4 linked regions of the Danio rerio genome follow. The protein of the gene in region 4 binds, or shares a complex with, the protein of the main gene of each other region. Links are inferred from orthologs where the notes say so. Each region holds a gene or a part of one and is shown on either strand. Other genes may lie near its edges. The genes, in order: apooa, micos13, immt and chchd6a.

What was found.
Region 1: chchd6a (region 4) and apooa share a complex: the UniProt entries of both Homo sapiens proteins name them as parts of the mitochondrial contact site and cristae organizing system (MICOS) complex. The link is inferred for Danio rerio from reciprocal best matches to the Homo sapiens genes CHCHD6 and APOO.
Region 2: chchd6a (region 4) and micos13 share a complex: the UniProt entries of both Homo sapiens proteins name them as parts of the mitochondrial contact site and cristae organizing system (MICOS) complex. The link is inferred for Danio rerio from reciprocal best matches to the Homo sapiens genes CHCHD6 and MICOS13.
Region 3: chchd6a (region 4) and immt share a complex: the UniProt entries of both Homo sapiens proteins name them as parts of the mitochondrial contact site and cristae organizing system (MICOS) complex. The link is inferred for Danio rerio from reciprocal best matches to the Homo sapiens genes CHCHD6 and IMMT.

Annotation. Positions count from the first base shown.
Region 1 is NC_133180.1:4,978,893-4,986,803, forward strand, and holds part of apooa (apolipoprotein O, a), read right to left. Parts: intron 7,240-7,911; exon of another isoform or gene 7,045-7,239; intron 4,110-7,044; exon of another isoform or gene 4,083-4,109; coding exon 3,978-4,082; exon of another isoform or gene 3,971-3,977; intron 1-3,970. UniProt on the Homo sapiens protein: Component of the MICOS complex, a large protein complex of the mitochondrial inner membrane that plays crucial roles in the maintenance of crista junctions, inner membrane architecture, and formation of contact sites to the outer membrane.
Region 2 is NC_133197.1:19,392,889-19,400,098, reverse strand, and holds the end of micos13 (MICOS complex subunit MIC13), read left to right. Parts: intron 1-1,051; coding exon 1,052-1,208; intron 1,209-3,516; coding exon 3,517-3,568; intron 3,569-3,676; coding exon 3,677-3,774; 3' UTR 3,775-4,120; downstream 4,121-7,210. UniProt on the Homo sapiens protein: Component of the MICOS complex, a large protein complex of the mitochondrial inner membrane that plays crucial roles in the maintenance of crista junctions, inner membrane architecture, and formation of contact sites to the outer membrane.
Region 3 is NC_133189.1:18,387,536-18,396,195, forward strand, and holds the start of immt (MICOS complex subunit MIC60), read left to right. Parts: upstream 1-3,884; 5' UTR 3,885-4,045; coding exon 4,046-4,087; intron 4,088-5,176; coding exon 5,177-5,250; intron 5,251-5,558; coding exon 5,559-5,751; intron 5,752-7,055; coding exon 7,056-7,206; intron 7,207-8,660. UniProt on the Homo sapiens protein: Component of the MICOS complex, a large protein complex of the mitochondrial inner membrane that plays crucial roles in the maintenance of crista junctions, inner membrane architecture, and formation of contact sites to the outer membrane.
Region 4 is NC_133198.1:37,035,075-37,042,985, forward strand, and holds part of chchd6a (MICOS complex subunit mic25a), read left to right. Parts: intron 1-900; coding exon 901-979; intron 980-1,371; coding exon 1,372-1,468; intron 1,469-2,577; coding exon 2,578-2,722; intron 2,723-7,911. UniProt on the Homo sapiens protein: Component of the MICOS complex, a large protein complex of the mitochondrial inner membrane that plays crucial roles in the maintenance of crista junctions, inner membrane architecture, and formation of contact sites to the outer membrane.

The sequences.
Region 1 (7,911 bases), on a different chromosome or scaffold from region 4:
CATGGATTTATTAATCATTCTTACTGTTCAGTGAACGCAAACTGCCGTAGTTTATTAAAGACGCAAACCCCTCACTGCACGACAGCTGCACCTTCAGCAGACCTCCTCATTCCTGCAGCACGAGAGCTTTATGATTGTTTATGAGTGGCAAAAGTGGCAGATCTGTTCGGCGAAATATCTGACTGCGTGTCACCGCATATCAAATAACTGAAACTGTATAACTAGAGAAATCTCCATTGTGCTGCTGAGTGAGAGAGGGCTTCTCACTGAACAGCGCAGCAGCGATGACGTAAGCGTGCCGAGGCCCGTTTGTGGTGTGAGTGCGGGCCATCGGGGGAGACGGGAGGAGGGACAAGCGTGCTTTTACAGTTCGAGGCAACTGTACCTAGTGTGAGTACGGCCTTACTGTTCAGTGAACGCAAACTTTCGTAGATTATTAAAGAGGCAAACCCCTCATTGCACCACAGCTGCACCTTCAGCAAACCTCCTAATTCCTGCAGCACGAGGACTTTATGATTGCTTATGAGCGTCAAAAGTGGCTGATTAGTTTGTCGAATTATTTGACTGCGTGTCACCGCATCCCAAATGACTAAAGCGATATAACTAAAGAAATCTCCACTGTGCTGAGAGAGAGCGCTTCTTACTGAACAGCGCATCATCGATGATGTAAGCGTGCCCAGGATTGAATACAATGTGAGTGCGGGCCGTCGGGGGAGACTAGAGTGGGGACAAGCGTGATTCGGAACGGTTCAAGACAACTTTACATAGTGTGAGTACAGCCTACAGCTAGCCAAACAAATAAAAGATCTTGATCTCAGCCAGAGACTTTACCCCCCTGCAACAGATTATCTGTGGCGAGTCACGTCTCGGATCTCACTTATATTAATTACGCTGCTATCCCACAAAGACAGATCTACCAGTATGGTGATGGCTCAAGTTAAATCTTTTAACTGCTCCATCAGATACAGTTTTTCCACATTCCAAAACACCGGTGTATCATATTTTCTCATTTTACTCTGGGACTTCTCCATTCTGGTGATCACCCCCTCTCTGTGGACTTTTTCGCTACTTATTAATCTATTGAACGTCTCCAACAGATTTGATGTTCAGTCAAACGTAATAAAAAGTCTTGATCTAAGCCAGACGCCAGGGACAGTTATCTGTGGCAGGTCATCATCTTGGATCTCACTTATATTAATAAAAAAATGTAATTAAGCAATTAAATGTGTTTTTTTTTTATTATAAAAATGTATGTTATATAATTATATAAAAAAATATTACATATTTTTAGATTTAATTATTTTAAACATTTTTTTCTTTGTTTTATTTAAAATATAAACGTTTATACTTATTTTGTGATTATTTTCTAATTCGTTTTAACAATTTTCTCATGTAAAGCACTCTGAATAAACATTTAGTATGAAATGTGCTTTACAAAATAAACGCCTTGCCTTAATTCTGAAAAGCTTGTGTACATTTTTACTCTTTTCCATTTATTTATGGTTCAGTGGTAAATCTCACCTTCACTGCATGAACTAAATCTCAAACCAGCATGATCTAAAACAAGTAACTAAACTAATACTCTGATTCTCACTATCTTTTACTCATTTTGTATAACATGTCTTTGAGTTTTACAGTAAATCAAACCCCATAACCCATAACTTACCCCGGACAGGTTTAGTGAAAAAATACTTACATAAAATAAATAATAATAATAATTATTACAAATCAATTAAAAAAACAACTTACAAGATATATTTTTATAGACCCAGAAAGAGAGGTCTGTCCCTGGGCGATACCTTATTAAAAGGAACAGTTCTGTTCCTGACAGGTCCTTAAAGGGATATATTAATACTCCCGTGAATTAATTCATTCATACATTTTCAACTGCTTTTCCGGGGCTGGGTTGCGGGGGCAGCAGTCTTGGAAGGAACCCCAGATATTTCCTCCGGGGGGAACCCGAGATGTTCCCAGGCCAGCCAAGAGACATAGTCCCTCCAGCATGTCCTGGGTCTCCCCCGAGGCCTCCTCCCGGTGGGACATGCCTGGAACACCTGCCTAGGTAGGCGTCCAGGAGGCATCTGAAACAGATGCATGAGCCACTTCAGCTGACTTCTCTCACTGTGGAGGAGCAGCGGCTCTAGTCTGAGCTCCTCCCAGGTGTCAAAGCTCCTCACCCTGTCCATAAGGGTGCCACCCTGCCACCCTGTGAAGGAAACTCATGTCGGCCGCTTGTATCCCAGATCTTGTCCTTTCAGTCATGACCCAAAGCTCATGACCATAGGTGAAAGTAGGAGAGTAGATCGACTGGGAAATCGAGAGCTTTGCCTTTCAGCTCAGCTCCTTCTTCACCCCAACGGGGCGGTACATCGACCGTGAAGTGCTTTGAAATGTTTTATTCTATGTTTGAGCTCAAGCACATCACACGAAAAGTGGTTCAAAGGGGACAGGGCATATCAGATACTAGAGAGCATTTGATTGGTCAGAAGATTTGATGGGAAACTGAGGTAAAAAAAAGATCCATTAATGCGGAAGTGGCAAACTGCAAGCTTTACATGTTTATATCATAGGGGTGTAACGATACACTCAGCTCACGATACGATGTGTATCACGATATAATGTTCATGATTCAATATGTATCACGATATTTGGAATAAAAATTTAAAATTAAACTGAAATGCAAATTTTACCAAGTAAACTATTTTTTATGTATTTCTTTTGTTTCAACTTGTTAAACTGAACCTTCTTTACGAAAATAAATTAAACAGGCCTGTCCCTGGAAAATAAAACAATTAAAAAACTTCTTAAAATATTATTGAACATTACTAGCCATTATTGAACTTATTAGCCACATTTCCAGGTATTTAATTCATATTTAATTAAATTCATTTAGAAATATCTCTAATTACAATTGTGACTAGTCAAAACTCATTTAGAGATATCTGCAAATATTTTTCAATGGAAGTCAATGGAGGAATATGACTAGTCATAATATTTTTGCAGATATCTTCAATCTGATATCGTACTAGTACAATTGTAATTGCAGATATCTCTAATTGTCATTCTGACTAGTCGAATTATAATTATGTCTAGTCAAAATATAATTAGAGATATCTCAAAATATATTTATGGATAGTCACAACAAAGGTTTAAATGCTAAAACGGCTTGCCATACGTGCGCGTCTATCAAAGTCCGCCCTCTGTAGTAACAGCTCACGTCATGTGTGATTTTGCGGCGGGAACATTATTTGAAGACAGAATGATATTTTAGGGTGAATTGTACCTTATAAATACAGTATGTGACTCTTTCAACACCATTAGGAGGTATCTCTGTCACTGTGCAAAGTATGTAAATCACTGTGAAGACTTTAAAACTTAGGATGTTTGACCCAGTATGCGTGTCAAAAAGCGGACGAGTCTAAAGCAATGACTGGACAACCGAAATGTTGCCAGACGTCTGATTTTGAGAGGATGGGCCATCCTCTATTTCAGCTTCACTCATCTTGGTCTGCTAACATTACTGCTGCTGCAATCTGAACTCACGTGCGACAGCAGGTGGAACGTAGCTCACATGCAAACAGCTCAACTAATAAGAGAAAACGGACGTCATATCGTAATCAAATCGTCATAACGCCACGATGCATATTGAGACATTTTTGCATCGCAATAAATCGTACAACGATAAATCGTTACACCCCTATTATATCAGCTTTACATCTTCTAAATGTGTATCTTGTCACTGTTTTGTAGCATACTAGCTAATAGATATCCTTAAAACTAACAGACTTAACCTAAAATCTTAAAAAACTTTCACAGGACCATTAAGGGTACAAAAGTACACCCTAAAAGTGCTAATGTTCACCTGTAGCGTGCAAAAGTGTACCTTCTGAAAAGGTTTCACCCCCTGACAGATTTGTCCCCTTATTTCTGACTGTGTACTCATGTTAGTTTCTTCACAGCTGATTTTCAGGCTTTACCTCCTCTACACTGAGTGTTGTTTTGGGCTTGTCATCAGCGGACGCCGCCAGCACTGAGGCTGAAAACAATCCCAGAGTTCCAGAGGCTCCAGCGACTCCTCCAGCCTATCAGAAGAGAGCACCAACAAACCGGTCAGACAGAAAAATAACCTCTTTATCAGAGTCTGTGCTCACTGTCAACATGGCTTTCCTAGTCAATACCATATAGACACACACATTTACACACTATAAGGACAGCACGAAATATTAATGACACACTAATATACTAACATACAACTTTTTAAGGTAAGTGGTTGCAAACAATTCAGCCCATATAGATTGTTTGCAACCTTAAACAAACTTAATAAATCCAATGAATCATTTTTTCAGAGTAAACGTGAACGCACACCAATGTAATTGTTTACACCTTCAAACTGTTACCATCTGGTCAATGATATTGTGTCCCCAGATGTGTAAGGAAAAGGTGGAAATTATAACTGATCCCTGAAGCATTTACACTTTTAATTCTTCCTCTTAATGGTCAGTGGACTGGATGTTTATTTCGATTAGTGGTGCCTTAGTTTGAAAATTGATCTATTTATATAAATGCCTATTATGAAATATTCAAATGTCTCTGTCGGTGTATGCTGCAAATCAAATATCCCAATGGGGAGAAATTAAGTAGATTAAACTAAAAGTTGCTGGGTTCCACAAAATAAAATAGATTTGTGTTGGGCCAACAAGAAGGAATTAAGTTTGAGCACTAAGGTAAAACATCCCCCTTAAAAATTTAGCTGTTTTGGCTCATTTTAAATAAGTGGTTTGAAAATAACAAACAGCAAATTTAATTATTGTGTAGCTAATAATTGTTATTATTTATCACTAACTTACTCAACACCTTTCTGATTTGAAGAGTAATGTAATAATGTGGACTTGTAAATCTGCATTGGAATTATAATGAATGTGAAAAGCGCTGTACAAATAAATAGACTTGAATTGCATACTCAAACTACTCATGCTGCCATTTTGAGGACCTTCAAGGCCCACTGAGTTTAACTGCGAACATTACAAAGGCAGGAGAAACTGGAGGTCAGATGATGTTCATGTGGGGGACAAGGGTTGAACGCTGTTACGTAACGCTGTTTACATCCCATATCTGCTGTCCTTTACATACAGATGAGGCACAACATTGTTAGGCAATGGTGCGTCCAGATTAAAGCCTCTATTGTTTTTGTTAATTGATGTTCTGCTAAAATTAAATATTAATATTAGATTAAATGTTGTCATGGCATATTTGTTTTTAAATTTAATAAAAAATATTAATGAAAGTTTTTAAAATTATTTGATGAAATTATTAAAAATAAAACACTAAATACAAAAGTAATAATAATAATAATAATATTAATAATGAAAGTAAAAAAAAAAGAAATTTAAAAAATAAAAAGTAAAAACAAAAGTAATGATGATGATAATAATAATAATGAAACTTTTAACAAATTTATGAAATTATTAAAAATAAAAAGTAAATGCAAAAGTAATAATAATAATAATAATATTAATAATAAAAGTAAAAAAATATGAAATTTAAAAAATAAAAAGTAAAAACAAAAGTAATGATGATGATAATAATAACAATAATAATAATAATGAAACTTTTACAAATTTATAAAATTATTAAAAATAAAAAGTAAATGCAAAAGTAATGATAATAATAATAATAATAATAATAATAATGAAATAAAAAAATATATTGTGTGAAATTATAAAAAAACAAGAATGATAATGAAAGTTAATATATATATTTTAGGAAATTATTAAAATAAAAAAGGAAATACAACAATAATAATAATAATGAAAGTTTAAAAAATATTTTATTAAATTATTAAAAAACAATAATAATGATGATGATAATAATGGAAGTTTAAATATATATTTTAGGAAAGTATTAAAAATAAAAAGGAAATACAACAACAACAATAATAATAATAATAAAGTTTTGAAAATAATTTTATATTTTTTTTTCAAATAAAAGGCAAATACAGTAATAATAATAATAATCATGAACGTTTTAAAAAATAATTTTATGAAACTATTAAAAATAAAAAAGTAACTACTAATTATTTTGCTAAAATAATAAAAAAATCGTAGATAAATGTTAAAATTGAAATGTTGCCATGGCAACAAAATAATAATAATAACAATAGTAATAATAAATAACAACAACAATAATAAAAGTTGAAGTATTACAATTAAAACTACAAAATGTAAACAAGCTAAACACAAAAGAAGAGCATATACTATTATAAAAATTAAATGTTAAATGATATAAACGTCTAAAATTCTGAAAACAATACAAACAGATGATGCACAACATTTTGGATCCAATTCGAATGTTGACTATTTATCCTCTACTTGACAAAAGTCTTGTCGTCTATAGTTGATCATTTGGTATCAGAAGTGTCATAAGAAAAGCAAAAGCCTCTAGATGACGCTTATTTCACTACAATAAAATATGATCCTGCCTTGATTATGAATGATTTCATTAGGACAGTAAGGTCTGACTTTGCTCAGACAAAAGTCTCATCACTGAACAGAAATAATGTCCAGTATAGAATATAAAGTCCTGCTGCAGTGGAGACAGAATGAATATTGTGTCTGACTCCATCATGAGCTTGGAGGACTGCATCCATACATCTCTGACATGACTCAAATCACTGATTAATAAAGTCATCTGGAATGAAGAAGAAAGCGTTCCTGCAGGACTCCCAGAGCTCATCAAGACTCTTTGTGTTCATCTTCAACGCCTCCTCCTTCATCTACCCCAGACATGCTCAATAATGTTCATGTCTGGTGACTGGGCTGGCCAATCCTGGAGCACCTTGACCTTCTTTGCTTTCAGGAGCTTTGATGTGGAGGCTGAAGTATGAGGAGCGCTATCCTGCTGGAGAATTTGCCCTCTACTGTGGTTTGTAATGTGATGGGCAGCACAAATGTCTTGATAACTCAGGCTGTTGATGTTGATCATCCACTCTGCAGATCTCTCACACGCCCCCATACTGAATATAACCCAAACCATGACTTTTCCTTCACCAAATTTGAGCTGGGCTCCATGCAGGTTCCAGTAGTTCTTTCTCTAGTATTAGTGATGATTGGGATGCAGCTCAACAGATAATTCATCCGGAAAATCCACCTTATGCCACTTTTATAAATGATCAACTAGAAGTCAAGTTATTATTAGTTGCTCTTACTGTACAACTGGAATCAACGACAAGACTTTTGTCAGGTAGTGTAAATAATGATATATTTATTGATACATTTGCATATATGTATAGTCAACATTCGAGGTGGATCAATAATGTTTTTCAAAATTTTCCTAAGACAAGAACTATTTCTAATACTTTATAAAGGAATTTTGACATTTTTAACGAATTTATAAGTTAAAAAAATCATTATTTAGGGGTGGCGTGGTGGCGCAGTGGATAGCACGATCGCCTCACAGCAAGAGAGTCGCTGGTTCCAGCCTCGGCTTGGCCATATGGCATATGTGTTTGGAGTTTGCATGTTTGGAGTTTGCATCCGGGTGCTTCCCCCACAGTCCAACCATATGCACTATAGGTGAATTGGAAAGGCTAAACTGTCTGTAGTGTATGTGTGTGAATGGGAGTGCATGCGTTTTTCCCAGTGATGGGTTGCAGCTGGAAGGGCATCTGCTGCATAAAACATGGATAAGTTGGCGGTTCATTCCGCTGTGGCGACCCCTGATTAATAAAGGGACTAAGCCGTAAAGAAAATGAATGAATCAATCAATGTTTAGGTTGTCTGTAGGATTTCACGGTGTTTTGTTGCCATCTAGTGTTCAGTTTTAAAAACGCACCTGAGCGCTGACGTGCCGCCACTCAACGGTTATCAAAAACGTGAATTAATTTAAATAATAAACACTATAACGTTTAAATAA
Region 2 (7,210 bases), on a different chromosome or scaffold from region 4:
GGTTTGCATGATTGTTTCCGAGCAAGGCCTTGACAGTAATAATAATAATAATGTTATTATTAATAATAATTTATGTTTATAGTTCACTGCCAAACTTATTGCTGCTGTACACCTGATGCTGAGCAAAGATATACATCTGTGAGCAGCACCTGGTTTCCATGATTGTTTCAGAGCTACTGTAGGCTTAAATAATATAATTATTATTGTTATTATTAATAATAATCATTTTAGCACGTGATGCCCACAGAGAGCACTATGCCAAATTAAGTTCTGTTTAACCTATTTCTGCTTAAATTGTAGAAAATCTTTAAAACGACATGACTAATCAAGACTTTTATTTGGAGAATTACACTTATTAATAACTTGGTTCTTATAAACGATCATTTTATAAAATACATTATTTACAGATCTACTGAAGAATAAGACGAATGACATCAATAACTATAATATATTAAGATTTTATATAAACTATAAATAAGAACATTTAAAGTAATAGAACATTATCTGTAAAACAAATCTAAACTGTTATATAGGCTACAGGCTAAATAAAGGCACCTTGTCAGAGATTTACATCGTGTGCGTTAAAGAGGCAATGAATGTAAGCCTGATAACTGATCAAATGACAGAATATGTAAACTTAGTTTATATAATTATATACATATAACTAAATATTAATAATTCAAAGCCTGGGTATTGTCCTCAGAGGGCTCTTATTTTGGGGGCTACGTCACAAGCTCAGATTTGGTTGACCAATCAGAGGAAAATGGACATTTTAGCACCGCCTACATGAGAATAATGAATTTTAATTGTTTTTTTTTTTTTTTAGTTAAAAAATGGATATGGATTTAATTTAGCAGCCAATGATTATCAAAGTACAGCATTGTTTACAGTAAATTTGATGGTGCTAATGTTGTTTTGAAGTCATACTTCCATGCTAATTCTGACCTAATATTCAAATTAGCATGGAAAGCAATAGAAACAGTTAAATAAAGGAATGTGCAAATATAAAACCAACTTTACCTCATTGTATTTGTGTTTCTTTATGTTTTAGGTTTGCAACAAAAGTGACCATTGCGGGAGGAGCCCTGTATGTGGCATATGATTCAGGACTTCTTGGAGGTAGTAATGAGGGATCTGTGGCCTTGGCCCGAGCTAAATCAGCCATACCACCTGCTGTGGATGAGTGGATGAAGTACTTTGGCTTCGAGGTATGAAAAGAAATGAAACTAAGTGTATGATTGATAACGAAAGTAGAACTTGACTTTTTGATGAAGTGTAAGGCTACAGTATATGGCAGATGGCAGCACTGACATTATTGAATAAAAAGAGAGATAGCGGGGAAGTCTTTTGGGTAATTAAATAGTCTTGATGCACAGAAGACTGTTTACATATGGTATTAAAATGCATCGCAACACCTTCACACAAAACTCACGATTTCAGATTTTAAAAAAAGAGCATTTCATAAACTAAGGATGAAACATTTACACACAAATGAATCACAGTTTCATGGTTTTCATTGTTGACGCGCTAGACTCAGATGGAGGGCAGGAAGTGATTCTCCTACATAGGAATCGCTATCAGAACATCAATTGTTCTGCAAACAAATGTTTGCATATGTATGTAGACTGTATATATCAAGTATGTAGACTGCGTCCATGCTTTTGTATGCTTTCATGTCTGCGTGGGGAAAAACTTGTAATTTATAATAAACATGTTTTTGAACCACATAGTAAAGTGTATAACGTGTTTAACTCTTAGTTAACGGATGCTATAAAATACTGTAGCATAGTACACTGATAGACTGTAATAAATACTGTAACATTATTATAATCTGTGGTGCATGGTAATGGTGTTATAGTGTAGAAAACTTAAGCCTATTCAATAATTTGTTTATTGCTACAGTTGTGTCATACCACAGCAACAATATAATTACTACGACAGTTTAATTCAAGTAATTATTTATTGTATGCTTCCGGACACTAGTATATACTATGGTATTTTTTTCATGGAATGTAATGTATTTTAAATATAAAAATATTTTAGCTCAGTAGAAAACTTGGTCCTCTTCATGATATAAGGATCACGCTCGGCATATGTGGTTATTTTCTATTTATATCTTCTTTAAAAAATGGTATAAATCCCAAAAAATGAACTTTCTTCTATAACTCTCATTCATTCATTCACCATAACCATGTGATTGAAAACAACCTTTTTTAATTTATTATTTATCTCTGCTCAGTAACCAAATAATACAGCTCAAAATAAAATTAAAAGAAAGAAATGTCAATTTATCTCTTTGAATTGAAGAAAAGTGAAATCTTTTTCGACTTAAACCCAATTAATATGTTAACAATGAAAACAAAATGATTTTGTCTATTTGGGAATTAATATACGATGTATATAAAGAAAGCAGTTAAAGGATGCTGGACAAACGCGTTTTTGATCAACTGTTATACAAAATTGTTCTGTATGTTCATTTTGTGGATTTATTTAAACTTTTTGGACCCAAGTAGTGTAAAAAGACAACTAGTTAGCTTTAGTATTATAGCTACCTCACCTTTTGAAAATTAAAAAGGATATCTGCGGGGCCTTAAAATGTCTTAAATCTCAAAAGCTAAATTGTAGACCTTAAAAAGTATAAAATATACTGAAATGTTGTGTTGTTGGTCTTAAATCTTTTTTTTTATTTTTCCTTTGTTCATTTATAGCTACCCAATCTGGCCATTGACATGCATACAATCACCAACAGTACATCTCAATAAAACTTTATATTTAAAAATAGCATTTAATTATTTTCGTTACAGCAACATTTGCTTAAGAGTTCTTATAAGTTTTTTTTTATTATTAAATTATTATTATTGTAGACTGAAGTAATTGACTGCTATGTTTTGTTTTATTCTTAGGGTTATAAGGTTTGTGAATGGATGTATTTGAAAAGTACAAAATTATATATTCAAACAAAATGATTATTATTGTTTTATTAAATATATTACATTTTTATCCTTTTTTTAATAGGGCGAGTGAAAATCTTTTTTAACTGGGATATTAGAAAAAAAAAAAATTCATAGCATTTCACCCAGTATAAGTCTTAAAATTTATTCATAATGCTCTTAAAAATGTCTTAAAATGTCTTAAATTTAACTTAGTGAAACCTTCAGAAACCCTGATTTAAGTGAATTTGAGAATTAAAGTTTTGTTTACAAACAGCTTGGTTAATCTCTGCATCTTTATCAACAACTTGTCTTGTCATTTAAGAATTAGGTCAAGTCATTTTGTGTGCATTCGAATGCTTTTGACCACTTGAGCATTTCTACTACAAGCAATCCAATCTGGTATAATCAAACAGGGCCTCACACTTCTTGTAAATAAAAAGTCTTAACTAACCTTTGAATTGCAATAAGTGTTTTATTTTATTTTTATTTTATTTTATTTTTTTGCTAACCAAATACTTCTTCATATTATACCATGTTTTATCAAAGTCAAACTATTATAATGATCTTTAATATAATATTTTAGCTTCCAGCAACCCCCAAAATTGAGTTCTCCCCATTGGATGCTTGGAACTCAGGTAAATGCCTCTGTATTTAGTGACAATTATATGTAATTAATTTTACTACACACAGTATATGAATATACTATAGTTATGTAATCGCTCCATTTCTTTCCCCCAACTCAGGGGTCCAGAAGTCTATCCACGCTTTATCGGTTGCTCCGTCCACAGTTGGTGACTACACCAAACAAGGCCTGCAGTATGTCAAAGACCTGTCAAAATGAATCTTCAGCATTAGTGTAATATGCTATCAAGAAATTTCAATCATTGAGAAGACTTGGACAAATCAAGAAGCGATTTCCACTTCATATATACATCACAGACTGAATTCCACTCACTTTTGAGAAACAACTATTGGAAATAATGAAGATTATACTTGTGCAAACCTAAATATGTCCTTGTTATTGCACATGTTGTCCAGATAGAAATACAATTGTCAAAAATGAACCCTAATTTCAAATAATAAGAGCGCCTTCTTTGTGTATTGTTACTCAACACTTGTATTTATTTGGGAAATCTTTTCCTGGAAATGCTCTGTTCTGGTATTGTCCCATCTGTAATTTTACAAAAGCACTATAACAGAGGTTTGTATAGTTTCCTGTATTGCTCTGTCTAATGTAAAAATATATTGCGTCAAATATTTTGAGGGATGTCTTTTTTTTTTCTGTGTGATTTGCATGGTTCTACTACTACTTTACAAGAAAATGACGTACGGAAACAATTGGATGATCAGTTAACCACATCAAATGCTTCATTAGTAACACTATTCATTTTTACCACAGAGTAAAGCTGCATTCGTGTGAAGTTAGACCTCAACCCCTTTTTTCGCCTCTTGACTCATTTTGAAAGTCATGCAGAGGTCATTTATATATATTTGTATTACCAGAAAATATGCTCAGACCATGTGTGTGCCTGGAAACTATTTCAGTTTTCTTCGTTTTTTAGTTTGTTGTGCCCTACATAGTTAAGCAAGAAAGCAAAGCATGTGATATGATCAAAAATGTCATGTACCACAATATACAGTCTTATCGTGATTGTTTTTAATCTGGGTTTTTAGGACAATTGGGGTTTAAGTTTCTGAGAATTTAGACCTTAAAGTGCTCAAACTTAAAGTAGAGCTGGACGATGTTTTAAATACGTTTCTTAACTTTGGCCAATACAATATAATTCTGATGTCGATCTTTGGATGAAAAATACATTTTTTTATTGTTAGTTGCAAAGTAATTGATTTAAGAATAGTGTTTTTATATATTTTTAAAAAAACTTCTTGCATTGAGTGTTGTGTTAATACTGTAATTGGTGAAATCTGTCTTTTGGTGCTGACTTTAATATCAATGTCAAGCACATCCTGCTTGCCTTTGGGGGTGAAAATTAATATTTTTGATGAATTCTGAGAGCTCCCTCATCCAGACTTCAAGTCACAATATACACAAATATCCTGAAAAAAAGAGCATGTAGTGGTTCAATCAGAATATTATGAATATTATTGTCCTCAGTGTCATTATAGGGTGCGCATTGACCAGAGCACTACTGTTTTCATGCATGTCGCACTCAGTTGAATGCATCCATTGTATACGTCAACGCACATTTCTTGTAAATGACCCCCCTATACTGACAAAACTGATTGGAAAAAAATAGTTTCATGTGCATGCAAAGGAATTCTTGTAGCATAATAACATTCTGAATAAACCACTGAAGCTGTTTGGTCTGTTTTGATACTTTTAGGAACTTTAAACAGATTGTCACCATTGCTATATATGAAGGATAAGAGAGCTCTCAGATTACAATTTGTATTTCGAAGACCAATGAAGGTCTCACAGGTTCGGAATCAGAACAAACTGAGGGAAAGTAATTAATAACATAATTTTCATTTTGGAGTGAATTAACCCTTTAAAGCAGGGGTCACCAACTTTATATTTGGATATCTATCTTCCTGCAGATTTCAGTTGCAATTCCAATCAAACACATGTCTGTAATTATCAAGTGCTGTCTCGGGTCCTAAATAAATGGGTTCAGTTGTATTTGATCAGGGTTGGAGCTGAAAGGTAGAAATCAATGGCTGTTTTCACCTGTTTACTCCATGCGTATTTTTATTTATTTATATTTTCAGGTCAGATAGCTATCCAATCATGATATGGGCAGCTGTAAACGTCCTCTGAAACATATTTGAGTGTGATATAAATCCGATCTCCTTTGCAGGAGTTACAATATCCAGTTCTCAAAAGTCTTGTGCACAAATGTTCTCTGTGTGTTTCACGGCCTTCTTTCAGTGGCTTCAAAATTTTAGTTTTTCCCCTACCACGCATTAACGTTTCTTTCTCAAAAACACAAACACATACAAACATGCTGCTTAAGTATTATTGTAGCCTAACTTGTGCTGTTTACAGTGTTATCACACTTTAGCCATTAATATGTTTTAAAGATACTGAAAACAAGACAAATGTCAGTGCATGTCAAAACTTCTCCAGAGCCCCAAAACACCCTCAGACCCCAGAGGGTTAATGCAGCTTTAAAAAAAAAAATTATTACATAATTTAAATTGATTATTAAACTGTATACACTACGATATATTGACAAAGCATGAAAGAATGACAACAAATAGAAGTGTGTGTTTGTGTGTTTTAAAGTGTATGAACTTGCATTGTGGGAGATGGTTAAAGAAATCTATTGGCTTTAGTTTTGCTAGCGTTTTTTTCCACACCCTAACAATTACAATTCAGATAGCTATTGTTTAAAACAAGCCTCAAAATGAGTAAATACTCTTTAAACAAATAAACTTCATTGAGACATTTGCCAAAAAGCCTAAAACTAATGAGACAAAAACTAATCCTAATGGCTACCATTCAAGGTGTTTTAAACAATTTGTGTTTTAAACAATTTTATCTAACAGACTAGCATAAATAAGCAGACATCTCCATTCTCACGAGTTTGAGTTTTCTCACCTTTTCAACCAAGTTTATTCAACCAAGGTAATTTGGAAACATGTTCAGTGCTGTTGCGAAAAGGCTACTGTGTAAATCCCTGTCCTGCTCATTTAAATTATTTGATTAATGATTTAACAGTTCAATATAGGCTTCTCTGAAACTGAATATCTCACTTTAATTTTATGTAGGCTAGATTATTATTTTATTAGACAATCCAGGTAGTGATTTGGCATTGTTAAAGCATATAGCGGATTTGTTTTGAAGCACTTCACCTGAAATGTTATTCATTCTTCTATTTTGTTTAGAAGGTAGTTGACCAAGAAAAATATTTAAACAAAGAGGCTATATATATGTAAAAAATATTTTTTTTTAAAGAAAATTTAACAAATTATATTTTTATTTGAGCTCGTCAACTACTCAACTGTGCGGGTGGATGATTTTTGGTTAGTGGAAAGTAAGGATTTAATCAGTGCTTCACTAATTGTATTGTATCACAATTTTCTGTCATATATTTACACATTTTTTTAATATGTCATAATTTTACATAAGCGTCTGGTTTTCTCTTGGTGCTGATGTGCTTTATTACATTTAGATTTCAACAAAATAGTAAAATTAAAAAGAAAATGAATTATGTCATAACGAATGCCCTTAAATAACGTAGCCTTTGACAGTAAGCATCCATGTTTCTTTATCATTGCGGGAAGGGGGCGGGGCTGGATTTGTGCATACCTTGGAA
Region 3 (8,660 bases), on a different chromosome or scaffold from region 4:
CACCAGAAGGCATCTACAGATACGGCAATAGCACTGGGGAATTCATCTCCTTGCACGCCATGGACACATTTCTTCGCTCCGTGCAGCCAGAAGTCAATGACTTGTTCATTTTGAGCCTGGTCATGGTCAATCTAATGGCTTGGATGGACCTTTTCATTACGCAGGGAGCCACCATAAAACGCTTTGTGGTTTTAATCAGCACTTTGGGCACTTATAATTCCCTACTTATCATTTCCTGGCTGCCAATCCTTGGTTTTCTGCAGCTTCCATACTTGGATAGCTTCTACGAATACAGTTTGAAATTGTTGCGTTACGCAGACACCACTACTATCGCCTCATGGGTCCGGGCAGACTGGACCTTCTATTCTTCTCATCCAGCTCTCTTCCTCAGCACTTATCTAGCCCATGGCCTTCTCATCGACTACTTCGAGAAAAAAAGAAGATGTAGCAACGAAGACCAAAATGCAAACAACCTAGAGTGGCTGTCAAGTCTTTGGGATTGGTACACCAGCTACTTGGTACATCCTATTGCCTCTTTCCAGAACTTTGAGTCAGACTGGGATGATGATCCTAATTTCCTTTTGGAAAGGTTGGCATTCCCAGATCTCTGGCTTCGCCCACTTGTTCCGATAGATTACATCAAGAACCTGCCCACCTGGAAGTTCAGACTCCTACAGCCTGAAGGCTCCAACCTAGCAGACCGCGACAAACGGCAGAAAGCCACGATGAACCAAAATGAGGACTCCAGTGGGAACAAGGAAGCGCATCAGTGCAGTTCAGACGTTCTTCATGATCATTACGGGTGTTCAGCTGCAACCAAGTCAGAAGAGAGTTGGTCTGGTGGAGAGGAACAGGATACTGATTGGTCTCAGTGGCCTTGTGGTATGCTTCACTGCACCGAGTGTGTCGTATGTCTTGAGAACTTTGAAACGGATTGCCTTGTCATGGGTCTACCATGTGGCCATGTTTTCCACCAGCAGTGCATCGTGGTCTGGCTGGCTGGAGGGCGGCACTGTTGCCCAGTGTGCCGGTGGCCATCATACAAGAAGAGACCCGTACGACAACGTGCAACTGAACAACTCGATCCAGAATAGCCCATGCGTGATTCATTTACGTCTTGCTTCCTGCACTTATTTAAAAAAAGGAAAAACATGACTTGATGTGTCCATCTTTAGTCTATAGATTCATAACATGGGTTCCTGGGGTTTTTGTTGGTGGTTTTAACTTGCACAGTCATTAATTAAATTCATACTTCCCAATATTTTTCAATAAAATTAAAAGAAAATGCTAATTTATGCAAATTATAACATACTTAATGGTAGATTCAACACACATAGTTGAAAAGCTTCTGTTTTAGCGCCCACACATCATACATCCCAATAAAACAAAAGAAAAATCCATATGTTCCTGTACCTGAGAATCACAGTTTGTGTTCAGTGTGTTTCCAAATGTGAGTAATCTGTCTAAAATTAATCGGGGAGAATAAGATTCTAGGAGATGTGAGCCTTTATATAAGGTTTACTCTCTGGGCATGTAAATATGATTAAATTTTTTTTTGTAAGGAATTACAGCTTTACATTACTTGAGTAAAACGGCCCTGTGCAATTGAAAATGGCTTAGGCACTGAAATGCAATTAAAGGCTCCATCTTCAAATAAAGTTGTCTTGTGGGAGCATGTTTTGTTATTTTTAACAGCATTTTGCCATTAACACTAATAAAGACTTTACACTTTGACGTTTGCTGTTTGTCAGGGTGTAAAAGTAATTTGGGAACCTTTACCTGTAATGACATTAAAATTCAATAAAGTCCTGCTTTCTCACCAGTGGTATAGTATCTATGAATTTACTTTTTGAAATAAGTTAAATTCTACCATTTTAGAGCATGTTACACCAATAATCTATAGGGGGCAAATATGTCTATATCAAATGTTTCTCAACCACTTTCCTGGAGGCCCACCAGCACTGCATGTTTTAGATCTTTCCTTTGTCTGTCAGACCAGTTACCGGTCTTTCAGTCTATTCCAATGAGCAGGGCCCGGTTTTTTAAAAGTAATCCACTAGGATTTTGGATAAGGGATTGGAACAAATCTTGAAAATGGGTTTTTCAAAAGAAAAAAATGGATTACTAAATCAGATTAGATTATGTAATCCAATCTTGATTTTGATCCGGATCAAACCTTGAGTTTGGGTTTTTCAGACCTTTTTTGTAGGATTTGGATCACTTCGATCCAAAAAAATCTGGATTAAACTCAGAAGGGTGGATTCAGCATGGATTTTATGCCCAAAATGTAATGAAAACTTTAAAAAAGTATCAAATAATTACTATATTTGGATCATGCAGTATCTTACAAGATATCCTATTTATTCATAAGGTTTTAATTGTATTTGTTCATTCATTAGGCTACAGTGATTAGGTAGGCTTTATCGTATTCAGCCTTTCAGTATAGGCCTACAGCAAAGTAGAAAGAGTTTGGCCTCATAAAATAATCCCCCAAACAGCTATCTAAATTGACTAAAAACAAGAAATTTGATTCTGTCACTAATTTATAAATATATTAATCACAATGGTAAAATATTTTTCTTTTCAGAATATTTATTAGGGATGTATGCAATGATTACAGAATAAACAAAACAAAAAAAAATGCAAAGAATGAGAATCTCAATTTTTTTAAATCACTTTTAACTATTGCAAAAAGAGACTGAAAGGGCAGAAGCACAACTTCATCTGGCAGAGGAACAACTGACTCTGACTGACCAAATTGCAGCAAACCAAGGCCATACTTGAGATTCGCCTTCTAGCTGGTCTCTCCTCATCAGACGAGGAAGACTGAAATTATTGTGAAGGTTAGACATTAAGTCTTTTTTTTTTTTATTCAATACATCTATATTTGAAACTTGTTATAAATATCCTCAGTGTACAGTGTTTGTGTTGTAGGTCTCAGATGAGCGTACTGCTGGAAGAGGATAGGGTGGGGTTTTTCTCGTTTTAAATTTTTATTTATTTATTTTTTTTAAATGTGTGTGTTTTAATTTCAAATAAAAATAAAGTTATATTGACCCCACACTGGCCATTCTACTTGTTGCACTTTAAATATCTATAGTTCTACATTGTGATTTCCCATCCTGTTTGAGCACTGGTTATCCACATTTAGTGATCCTGAAAATTTCCCATCCGGATCAGATTGATCCAATCCGATGTTGCTTTGAAAAACTCAAATAGTAAACTGGATTACGTGATCACGGATCGCAAAAACAGGATTACTAAATCCAGATCTATTTTATTAAACCTTTTGAAAAAACGGGCCCTTATGATCTGTGTGTTTGGTTAAGGGAGACATGGAAAATGTGGAGAGACTGTGGTCCTCCAGGAACGTGGTTGAGAAACACTGGTCTATATTACATAAATCACACATAACCTACACAGACATAGATTTTAGGTATATATATAGCCTTATATCTCCTACAATAACTGATCATGGTAGCATCCACAATATAGTACTGTATATAATAAAAAATAAAGTTACTAAAGTTATGGGAACATTTCACTGATCTATCTTGTATAGACAACAATTAATATTGAAAAAAAATTACTTATTGTTAAATTTACAAAATACATTAGCTAATTTTTACTAATGGGACCTTGTTGTGAAGTGTTACTAAAGATTATTGAGAAAATGCCATATGCCAGTAATTGTCATTTGCAAGGGCTACTTACCTATATTTCAGCGATCTCAACGAAAGCTCCAAGCTATCTATAATAACAATAACCATGTATTTACTAAAAGTATGAGCATATTTTCAAATAAGAAGCAAATAAATCTAATTATTTTCCGTCTTTACTGTGAACTCGTGACGTATTAAGCACGTTGGGTGTGCCTACCGCGCATGCGTTGCTCTGTCACTACGTTCACCGCCAGTGCTGGAGCTAATCTACAGTGTGCTGGGACGAAATTGCTGTTAAGGTTGTTCACTTTTATGATGTGTTGCTGAAACCAGTGGCATATTCCTGATCTTCAATCCAACACTCAGTATCCGAAGTGGCAAGCATGCTGCGCGTCTGTTGGAAAGGGGCACATGCAGCAGCGCGGGTAAGTTTCTTCTGCTTGAGCGGTCATTCAGTGACCCACAGCGAGGCCCTGCGTTTTAAAGCGTACAATTAAACTGCGGATTATCATAAACCCTACATTATTTATTTTATTAACCTATATTTATTAAACTTCATAACGAGTTTATGGTTTTATTTGTTGCGACTTGTTATTTGCGGTTTAGATGGAACACAGTGCTAGAAGTGCTGCTGTACGTCAACGACGTAACGTTGAGAAGAAAGAGGCGTTTACAGTTTGATAGGCAAATTCTTTCAGCCAATGAAATGTCACTATTAAGTGAGTGACTGCTTTCTCCACCAATAAACTACCTCATGTGTACGTCTGCGTAAATGTGGGCGGGATGTGTATGATTCATTTTTTCTGTCACCCGGATAACCAAGCTAGTCAACAGCTGTCTGAAAATCTTAGTTTTACATGAGTTCATGTCTGTTTTACATACAATTGTGTTTTACCAGAACCATTTTCATGCCAAGCGTATTATGATAGAGCTGTAACGCTGTTCTGTAAACACCGTGAAACACACGTTTTGTCCAATAGAAGGACGTGACCTTGCCAGGGAAAGTTCAGAAAGTTTCCAAGACAAACGCTGCCAACATGTCTATTGCGTTTCTATATGTTAATTAGTCAAATTAACAATTGTTAATATGTATAACAGCTGTTAAAATAACCAACATCTAAATGTATACGCATTAAAGATTCATTTTAAGCATTAAAGATTCAAAAGTTCATTCATTCAAAGTTCATGTTTTGAGAAACCACCAACACACACAAATTCCAAATAGAAGTGTTATTATTTAGAGCATACAAAAACAAACAAACATTAAATTAGCTCAAAATAAAATATCCGATCTTTACAGATATACAAACTGCACAAAAAGATTACCAATTTGAAACCCGCTGAATAGCATTCGCATTGGAAAGATGTGGCTCTTTGTATTTAATTAACGTTTATGTAAGACAATGCTTGTATTTAGTGTAAACAATGCTATTTTTTATGTACTTAATATTTTAATTCGTCATTTATTTTGTTGTAGAGCATGTGAGATGATTTGTTTGTTTGTTTCTCTGCAGCAATGTGTGTGTGGTAAAGTGAAGGCCCATCCATTACAGCACTGCCGCAGATACACCACAGCAGGAAACTCTGGGTATAAAATCAAACAATTAATTTCCACTTAAACAAAAGTTTACTGTGATTTGTTTATACGCAGATTTGTTTATTTTTCTTGTAGTTAATTGGACAATTATTAAATGAGTGACTTCTCAATCATACATTTACACTTATCCATTTGGCAGAAACATTTATCTAAAGCATATTACATTTCATTTATGCTGCATATGTAGACATTTTTTCTATAATGTCATAGTTGTCAGTCCCTATTTTGTATCACTTGAGCTAAAGAAATGTTTTTATTTATTTATTTATTTATTTATTTATTTGCTTATTGTTCTGCAGATCCTCCGCTGGGAAAATAGTGGCTGCTAGTCTTTTAACAGTGGGTGGTGGTCTTGGTGGGACTATCCTTTATGCCAAATGGGACCCAAAATTTCGGTCATCTGTAGAGAAGAGTGTTCCCTATTCGGATCAACTATTTGACATGGTGCTAGGGGCACCCCCTTCTCCACCCGTACCTATACAAAAGAAACCGGTAAGTGAAAGGGTTACGAACAACCAAAACACATTTTTTGAGCTGTTGACAGTCATATATGTGTCCCATGCTGCTAAAACCACTATTTGGACATATATTACACAAAGAAGTGAAAATAGGGTGTTTGTGCGTTACTTCAAGCAAATTCATTGTTCCAGTTTGAAACAAATTTATGAAGCTGCGTCACGCCGATTAGATCCTTGCATGTATTTCAGCATAGAGACTGGCTTTCTATACCTGGGAGTACTTTGTGACCTCTCTGAGTGTGCTGCATTCATTCATGACAAAGACTTGGTTCAAACCAAACAGTGCGCTCTATTGTGTATGCGGTGCAACTTCATTAATATGCATGATAGCTTCGAAAAAGAAAGAAGAAGAAAACAAGTGGGAGAAGAAGAATTGTTACCCATATGAGAGATACGGGTCATCTGTGTTGCGTTTTTAAATGTCCTGCAACGAAGGTTTTGTTTTCATTTTCCCGCTATGAGAGCGCAGCTGGACTCGCATGTAGATTACACTGCACGCAACACGCGGCAGAAATACGTTTGTATGGAACATTTTTTACTCGAGAGCTTGGCTTTCCGCATTTGCTGCTTGTCTCCTTTTAAAAAAGACGCAGCTCCAGTTGGTGTTGATTCATCTGTCTTTTTATTTTTTATTTTTTTATTCAAATGGCAAAGTTAATTCGTATCGTCAGCAGTACTCTTTCAGTGTTTAAAGACAGACCTTAGTCAAAATCATTTCGAAGCTTACAGTACATTAATATCACTACAATATTATGGACTGAAAGATCTGCTGTAAATGCTGTTCTCTGTAAACATGTAAACATTAAAGACCGTCATGTTAATTTCGATGCATTTTGTGACAGGATAGTCTACACACAAACGGCTTTCTGACGACGTGCGGTATCAAACATTCAACAGTCATTAAACAAAGTCTCTGTCTTTCTCCTCTGCATCTGTGTGTTTCTTTTGCCTCAGTGAAAATCAGCGTGTGCGTAAATGAAAAATCCCATTTTTATTCAAATCCTTCCATCTTTCCCTGCCCCGTCACTCCCACCTATACCGCGCTAGACACACCCACTTTCCTGACTTTTTCCAAACTAGAGATGTGAAAACACGCTGTTGAAACGGGGGTTTCATGGCCCTTTAAAATCACTTTAATTCTTAAAGAAGACACAAATAATATGCATTCTGTAATTAGATTTAGCTATGCAACTATGTGAGCATATTATTATTATTATATAACTGATTTTAATGACAGAATCAATGATGTTGGCTAATTTCGTATTTTTATTGAATTAGGAGACTGTCAAACCACTGCAAATCTCTTCATTGTCAGAAGCAACTAAAGACTCCAAACAGCCTAAAGCTAAAGCCAAGAAGTCTGATCCAGCACCTCCACCTTCTGTAGAGGAAGCTCCAGCACCAGCGCCAGCACTTCAGTCACTGGAGGGTAAGTGGGACTTGTACCTTTCTCAAGGCTAATTTATACTTTTGCCCAGTGCCACGTCGCAAACCTCTTTTGAATGCGCACGCACCTCACGAAACGTACATGCCTTTTATACTTATATAGAAGCCCACCGTGAAGTCAGACAGATAAACAGAGAAGTAGAAAGTTTCCCGAACCACGTCATATCATTAACATAGTTCAACATTTTTAAATTTGTTAGTTTTATTATTTTTTATAATTTATGTTAATGATTATAAAGATTTTTAAAATCATTCAAGATTTTTTAAATCATTATTTGACACATCACTTGCTTTTGTTTATATCTCGGACAGTTCTACCTATTAAAGGTAAATATCAATGACAACAGAACATGGGTTGCTCTACAAATATATTTTTTGTTATGGCATAAATAAAGGCCAAAAAGAAGTACATTTACTAAAAAATACTGACATTTTTAATAGAATAAGTCCACTTCACAATTCACACATTATTGTTACTGTCTGGCTAGTTTGTGTCCTCTGCTTTTATACTAAAAAGGCAACACTGGTCCAATATTACCTTTTAATCATTAACTTCACTTTTGCCATGGTCTTTTTTGGCTGTAACAAATGTATCTCTCAGGTTTTTCCAAACTTTTCTCCTTTCTCATGGCTGTTGCAATTTCTAGCTAAGAATTATTGACCATTGGGTTATCCCTAATGATCATACAAGGACAGATCCTAAAGATGTCTGTACAGTCGTACCTGCTTTAGACAAATCTCTTCAAAGTGATTCATATTCAACCCAAATGAAATGTGGCGCTGCTTGAACTGTTCGCTCGAGTCTCAAAAAATTATGTCGCTCACACGCAAAGCGAAACTTTGCAAACACAGTGATGATGTCACATTTGCTGTGCGCAGTAGCGAACGCGTTGGTTATAAACCAGGCTTCAGAACTTTCAGATGTGCAGCAGTTACTCCCTAAAGGCCCTGGTATGCTTAAACAAAATCAATAAAAGTATTGAAATGGCATAATTTCGAACAAAATCAGGCCAAAACGATGTTCGATTTGAGTTTGATTCCGCAGTTCGAAACAGCTCACCAAAGCCAACTTTTTGGGGGTGTTTGTTCTGGCTCCTAAACATCTTTGAGCTAACATTGGTCTGTGATGATTATGCAATTGGTGGGTGTGTCTTGAAACTCCACCTACTTTGACATGCTTCATATTCACAGAGTTCAGAGTCAGACAGGAGAAAAACAGCTAACACAACAACGCTTAGGACCCTATCATACACACGCCGCAACAAGGCGCAAGATGTGTTTGGCGTGATTTGTTGCTGATGAATTCTTGCACGTGACTCTTGCAATTTTCAACTGGGTGCCTCTGGGAAATGCTCATGCGCTCCCAATTTTCTTGTGCGCAAGGACGCGATATGTATAACAGCCCCATAAGCAGGTACTCTTCTCTTTACATTCAGA
Region 4 (7,911 bases):
ACAATAGTGATCTGATTTTGTAATTAATGAATGTTTGTATGGAGAAACAAATAGATTAAAAACATTTTGCCATTTAATTGGATCAATAATCATAAATTGGATTATTAATTCAACCAATTTGCTTGAAAACCATCTCAACATTCTTAAAATTCTTTATTAAAGTTTGTAAATCTTCAGCAATACTGCACAAATAACCTGTAAAACTTCATAAATGATACATGACAAAAAGGAAGATGCATTTTTTTTCACTATATCCATGATTGTTTATCTGTCTGTCGACAAATCATAACATTAATGCTTTAAAATATGTGTTAATTAATTTAGCATATGTACAGTTGAAGTCAGAATTATTAAACCCCCTGAATTATTAGCCCCACCTGTTTATTTTTTCCCCAGTTTCTGTTTAACGCAGGGCAGATTTCTAAACATAATAGTTTTAATATCTCATTTTAAATAACTGATTTATTTTATCTTTGCCTTGATGACAGTAAATAATATTTGACTAGATATTTTTCAAGACACTTCTATACAGCTTAAAGTGACATTTAAAGGCTTAACTAGGTTAATTAGGTTAACTAGACAGGTTAAGGTAATTAGAGAAGATATTGTATAATGATGGTTTGTTCTGTAGACTATCAAAACTATATAGCTTAAAGGGACTAATAGAATAGACATTAGAATAGTTTTTAACAAATTAATAACTGCTTTTATTCTAGCCGAAATAAAACAAATAAGACTTTCTCCAGAAGAATAAATGTTATCAGACATACTGTGAAACTTTCCTTGCTCTGTTAAACATCATTTGGGAAATATTTAAAAAAGAAAAAAAGTTCAAAGGGGGCTAATAATTCTGACTTCAACTGTATATTTATCAGTCACTTTCTACATTTGTGTACTCAGCTGTCTGAAGACGTCTTACAACGCATGAGGAACACCAACGCTGATCCAAGACCACCTGCCAACAATAAAGAAAACCAAGGTATGACATTATTATCGCCTCTCCATCCATAATTGTTTGCTGCTCATATTCACTCTGAACTATTAGACAAGATTTTTAGAATGAAAAAAACTTTCACCAGGTCACATTTTAAGCTAAATCAAATATTCAATTGAAAATTATAATTATCTTTTAGTATACAGTTTTTGTGAATGTTTTTATTTATTTCTATTGATATATTTGTATATCATCTCTTATTGAAATGTAAGTTGTTCTTATCATGTAATGTTTTTATATATTGATCTTGCCATGAAATGGCCATAAGTTGCTGATGTGGCAATAAACAAACATATTCACTTTTTCCCTTATGATATGTAAAATCATTAGTTTGTAATGCAAGTTAATAATTTTTTACATTTAATTTAATCCTGCAGGCCATCAAACTCGAACACCCAGCACATCAGACGCACAAGCTCCAAAAACACAGGCCAAAACGACGTTTCCCGACTCTAAAGAGGAGCTCAAAAAGAGGTACTTCAGTACAGATGTCTAAATCTAAATATTAAACAAAGTTTAATTATTGATACATAATCGGATTTAAATAATATGATAAAATGCAATCATATTACAAATGTGATATTGAAATTCATAACATTAGTATTAAAAAGTAAGTTTACATTAAGGAATACATCTAAATATTATATATACACGTCACCTTAAATGTATTTATTTATTTTTTATTTTGTTGATAACTGACCAACAAAAAATACTTAAAAAGAAAAAAAAAAAAACTAATTATACCAAATTCAATTTGTTACAAAAGAGCATTTTTCCCAACAAAATGAGGCTATATGAAGTGCTAAAAATTGTTTCAATGTTTCCTGTTGCTATTTTGGGGTTTTCATCTATTTTATTTTAGTCTTATCAGGCAACAATCCAAAGTAATCTAAAATTTCACTTTGTGAGTCGTTATTCTAAAGAGATTGTTGCTGTTGTTGTAGCTACTAAATCATATTAACAGGAACAGAAATGAACTGATTCAGATGCGCGTTCAAACTGAAGCGTTCAAAAACGTGCTATAGACTACCATAAAAGGCACTATTTCTACATATAGTTTTGCCACGTTAAAGGGCTCCACAAACTATTAAAATAAAGTCTGTTGTTGCACAAACATGTGAGCATTTTAGTGATTTTTATACATGCAACATCTATTGTAGATAAACCATTAATGATGATACTACCGTTTGTGGCACAGTTTTTTTTAGCCGTAGTGTCACGATACTACCATAGTACTGGTATACTGTGCAACCCTAGTAGGTGTGAAACTGACATTTTCAACCAATTAATTTTTCATTTTCTAAATCGTGCTCCTAATATGACAATACATATATCAGTCGACTAGTATATCTGATATAGTGCTCAAAAATCCCACTAGCAGTGGAGCTCCCAAAAGGGCAGAGACTGCAATTAGAATAGGACTCACTTTTTCCTGGATGCAGTTCAAGTGTGAATCATGAAGTGACAAACAAAGCATGAAACACTGACATGCAGTGGTAGGATTGAGAACTGCAGCGAGTGAGTCATGACTCATGGCTTGGCAACAGGCTTGAAAATCAAGCGGTGTGTGTGTTCCTGCACAGGTATGAGCAGCAGCAGGCCATTATACAGGAGGAATTGGCTCGCATCGCACGCAAAGAGAGAGAGGCAGCGCGGCAGGACATCAGTCGAGCGGTGCAGAGAGAGCGAGCACAGACGCGGCAGGAGTCTGAGAGAGCCAAACAGCTGGTGAGTCTCTTCTGCAAACACTTCAGCACAACACAGTACTTCAGGACTGAAGTATAACGACACAGGCAAGCACACTCTGACTCCACTGCATCCCGAGGCAGCCGGCTTAAATGCTGTGCATAATGTTGGTGGCAAACACATTGCAGTGAATTTATATAGATACAGTTGAAGTCAGAATTATTAGCCCCCTTATTTATTTTTTCCCCCAATTTCTGTTCAACAGAAAGAAAAATTTTCCAGCACATTTCTAAATGTAATAGTTTTAATAACTTAATTGACCCTTCACCAAGCCACACCCAAAAACCGCCACACACCAATCAAGGCTTAGCAACCGTAGCTACGCACAGGAGGCCTGTCAAGCTTTCGAGCGAGGGAAAGAAGCTGATAACCGCTATCCTAAGTTTGGATGAGGTGGTGGAATTTTTTTCCCTTTCCAAAACCTAAAACCCAAGAGGAGAAATTCCAGCGTGGATCAAGCTGTGTGAGGGGCGATAAAAGAGCGGGGTTAAGTTTATTTTGTTTTCGATATTCCTGACACATTCAGGCAATAACTCACACATCTCTTACCCTAAACAGATCAAACTGTGTTTCCTGCAAAAATACAAAGCAGGTTATGTTTCCCAGCTGTCTTTTTCTCTTTTTTCCGCTTGATATTATGAGCACTGCTCCGTTTAAGCCCTCACAGTAGTAGTCATACTATTAGCAATCATGTTTCCATCTGTTTCAAGCTACGAATATTTGAAACTACATATCGACAGAACAAAACAGAGATGTGATCACAATCTGAGCACTTGTGCTCAATATACAGTTGAAATCAGAATTATTGGCCCCCCTTTGATTTTCTTTCTTTTTTTTTATATTTCTCAAATAATGTTTAACTGAGCAAGGAAATTTTCACAGTATGTCTGATAATATTTTTTTCATCTGGAGAAAGTTTTATTTGTTTCATATCAGCTAGAATGAAAGCAGTTATTAGTTTTTTAAACACCATTTTCAGGACAAAATTATTAGCCCCTATAAGCTAAATTGTTTTTCGATAGTCTACAGAACAAACCATCGTTATCCAATAACTTGCCTAATTACCTTAACCTGCCTAGTTAACCTAATTAACCTAGTTAGGCCTTTAAATGTCACTTTAAGCTGTATAGAAGTGTCACGGTAAATATCATGGCAAATATAAAATAAATTAGGTGTTAGAAATGAGTTATTAAAACTATTAGGTTTAGAAATGTGTTGACAAAATCTTCTCTCTGTTAAAAAGAAATTGGGGAAAAAAACGAAAAAAAAAAAAAAAAACAGGGGGGCGAATCATTCAGGAGGGCTAATAATTCTGACTTCAACTGTACTTCACCCGCAGGTGTTTTTCAGTAATTTATAAGCCTCATGTCCATGTCAGAGCTTCAATTCACTGATGTTTTTGGTCTGTATTTTAGAGATTTAGTCATTATAGCGAGTTAGAGTCTGCTTTTATTTTTGGGGTCTGATTAATATTTGCTGGTAGGGAAAATCTGTTTGTTCACTTCTGCTTTTTATACTTTAATTTGCATTTGAATTGCATTTGAAGTCGTTTTTATGTTGCCTTCAATGATTTCCTAAAGATGAATACCAAAAAAGGATGCAACTGGAATAACTAAAGCAGTGACCATCGATTGAAGTGAAGTGCGAGATTGCATATGATGACATATGATGATGAGTGTGGGTGTTGTAGTGGTGTCCTATTTCTCAGGGGTACATTTTGAAGCCCTTCCCCTTCACACTCTGTTTCAAGGGCCAAGGGGAAGGGTAGGGGTACAAAAATAGAATTGGGATTGGGCCTAACTTTAGTTTGATTTCTACAGACAGTTCTGACAGTTTTGGTGACTTTTGCTTGCTTAAAATTCATCTATATCCAGCCAGCCAAACTAGTTCTGTGTTGCATAAATACTTACAAATGTAAAAATTAATAAGTATTCTTATCTGGCTTCATTTTCCGGTTTGAAAGTTTTTCTTTTAAATCAAGTCCCGGAGGCGAGGAGCACGCGGCCCGGTCAAGTCCCCGTCTGTGAAACATTCTGCTGCTCTCTTGACATGGGTGAAATTGGCTTTTTTGAATTCCACTCAGTTTTTTTCCCCTTTGTCCCGTCTTCCTCTTTCTCTCATCCACTTATTCGGGTCCTTTAGGGATTGTATCCCTCATTCACCTTATCTAGTCAATAAGACTTACACGTCGCACGTGTCGACATCTGGTAGACGTGGGATTGAAAAACGTTGTGTGATGTAGTACATGTCGTCCCATGCCCGAGGATCCTTTGGTACGTCTTGTTGGTGTGTGTCTTATCTGAGCTCTGACATGTTCTGGACACTTAATAGAAAAAGCTTCCCCTGGGCTCAAGCTTTGAAGAGTAAACGTGTGTGTGTGTGTGTGTGTGTGTGTGTGTGTGTGTGTGTGTGTGTGTGTGTGTGTGTGTGTGTGTGTGTGTGTGTGTGTGGACGCAGGTAGCGAACGTTATTATGACTCAATTCTCAATTCATTCCTGAACATTGCTCATTCTTTAAACATTTCTGCCTTATTAGCGGATGTGTGAGCATACATACTGATGCCATTCGGATGTTTGTGTGGAGTTTGGTATAGGTTGTCATTAGGGCTGCACAATATATCGTTTGAGCATGGATACCGCAATGTGTGCATCCGCAATAGTCACATTGCTCATGTTGAGTTGAAATTATAGATGGCCAGAAACGACAGGCCAAAACACACAAGATTTGTGGAGACACTGATGAATTGAATCATAATAAAGTGAAAGTTTATTATATGCATGTGTTTCTAAGGCCTGTGACTGTGAGCATTTTAAGAGAGTTTAAAGCATTTTAATAGCGCATAAAGAAGTTTAATAAAGATTTAAATAATTGAATTATTTATACGATCAAGAACATAAATGTCAATCAAAGGCGGCAACACCAAGGCTCCAAAATTACAAATTTATTAAATTGAAAAGGCTGACACAGAGCGTGTCAGAGCGGAGCCTTGGTGTTGCCGCCTTTGATTGAAATTTATTTGCACTTTTTTGCGGTTTTGGCTGAGCACCCAATTTAGAGAGACGTGCGTGCTTTTGTACAGTTTTTTCATATAATCAAGAACATGCAATGTTATTTTACATTTGATTATTGCATTTCTGTACCCAAATGCTGTTCGGCCCTGTTTATACTGCCAGTTAAATGTGACTTAATAAAATTTTTTTGCTTTTACGTGACAGATTGAATCTGTTCTATGACCATGTAAACTTGAAAAAAAAAACGCATGCATTCGGATATTCAGAGATCGGTTTTAGGCCTCCTTCATATATGGAAATAAATCAGATATAACTCAGATATGTGGCAATGCAACAATCATGTAAACAGGCAGATGGGATTTATTGAGGTGTTACGTTTTGTACGCCATTAAACTTGACAATGTGGTACTTCTCCGCAGTTTAATGACGTAGAATGACGAATGTGTGTGGAGATGCTGACACAGTAAACCATAACAACAGAGAAAACATGGAGGAGGAAAGTGGTATCAAATCAATTGTTGGTTTGGCCATCCCAAAATTCAGACCTATTGCATTAAAGCCCACCACAATTTGCTCCCACCAAACCTGAGATCTCTCTTATACCCAAAAATTCCTCTGAATGGTGGAGGGCACCATATATAAACCATAGGCGCAAGCTGCAATGATGACCCTTTCCCTCCTCCGCCTCAAAATCATTTTAAAATTGGTTGAACGTCTCATATTTCGCACAGCTAAAAGCAAGACCTTTGTGGCGCAGATGCAAAAACCTGCTTTTGTGCATGCACGACTTTGTAAAGTGTATGGCATGTGTAAACACTTGAATAAGATATGGGTCACAATTAAAAGAACGTGTAAACGGACAGGCAAAAAAAACAACAACAACAACAACAACAAAAACGACACAGATATATGCAACAAATCGAAATTGGGCATCAAGACCTGACAGTGTAAACGTGACCTTAGACTCTACCTAGAAAACCATAAAGTATGTATTTATTTCACTGTAATATTTGCTCCATTGTGTTACTTGATGACTGTATTTATTATATGTATATAACAAAATTAATGAAAATATGTTAACATTTCACTTCCCTATAAAATAATCTCAATCAATCTAAAGTAATGACTTGGCCAATAGAGGTATTTAAGTCATCTGTTGAAATTGTATTTATATCACAGAGAGAAAAAAACAAAACAATATCGCAATGTCAAATTTTTCCCATATCATGCAGCCCTAGTTGTCATCACTAGTGTGACAACAGATTCTAAAGTGAGTTTGCTTTACAATCCAGATTTTACATTTGACATTAGTATAAATAAAATAAATACATTATAATAAAAACATTTAAAAGTTCTATTCAACATAATTACCTTAGCTGAATAGCTTTTTAAATAGATTTGTAATGTAATGAAGTATCATAAACAAGCCTGTACACAACCTGACAGGAGTCTTGGCATCAATCCCAGATGTAAGAGCAACAAATAATAACTTCTAGTTGATCATTTGGACAAATGGCAGAATGTAGATTTTTCGAGAGGGTGCTCGCTGCAGAGCTGAGCTCCAGCGAGGGGGAGCATGAGCTGTCGCTCCTCCTCCTGTAAGCTGTTTTAATGCGTACACCAACCCCACCCCTAACCCTACCCCCAGTGACATCACTCGTAGAAGAAGTGCAAAAAAGGTGGAGCTCAAGCTTAAGCTCCCCCTCGCTGGAGCTCAGCTCTCCTCAAATGGCTATGCAGCGAGCACCACTTGGATTTTTCTGATGAATCATCTGTTCAGCGTCCCAATCATCACAAATACTGCAGAAGACCAATTGGAACCTGCATGGACCCAAGTTTCCCATAGAAATCAGTCAAGTTTAGTGATGGAAAAGTCATGGTTTGGGGTTACATTCAGCATGGGGGCGTGCAAAAGATCTGCAAAGTGGATGGCAACATCAACAGCCTGAAGTATCAAGACATTTGTGCTGCACATTACATTACAAACCACAGGAGAGGGCAAATTCTTCTGCAGGATAATGCTCCTTTTCATATTTCATTGCTTTCAGGAACTTTGATGTGGCGGCTAAAGGTTAAGGTGCTCAAGGATTGGCCAGCACAGTAACCATATATGAACATTGAACATATGAACAACATATTGATTATGTCTGAAGTAAGATG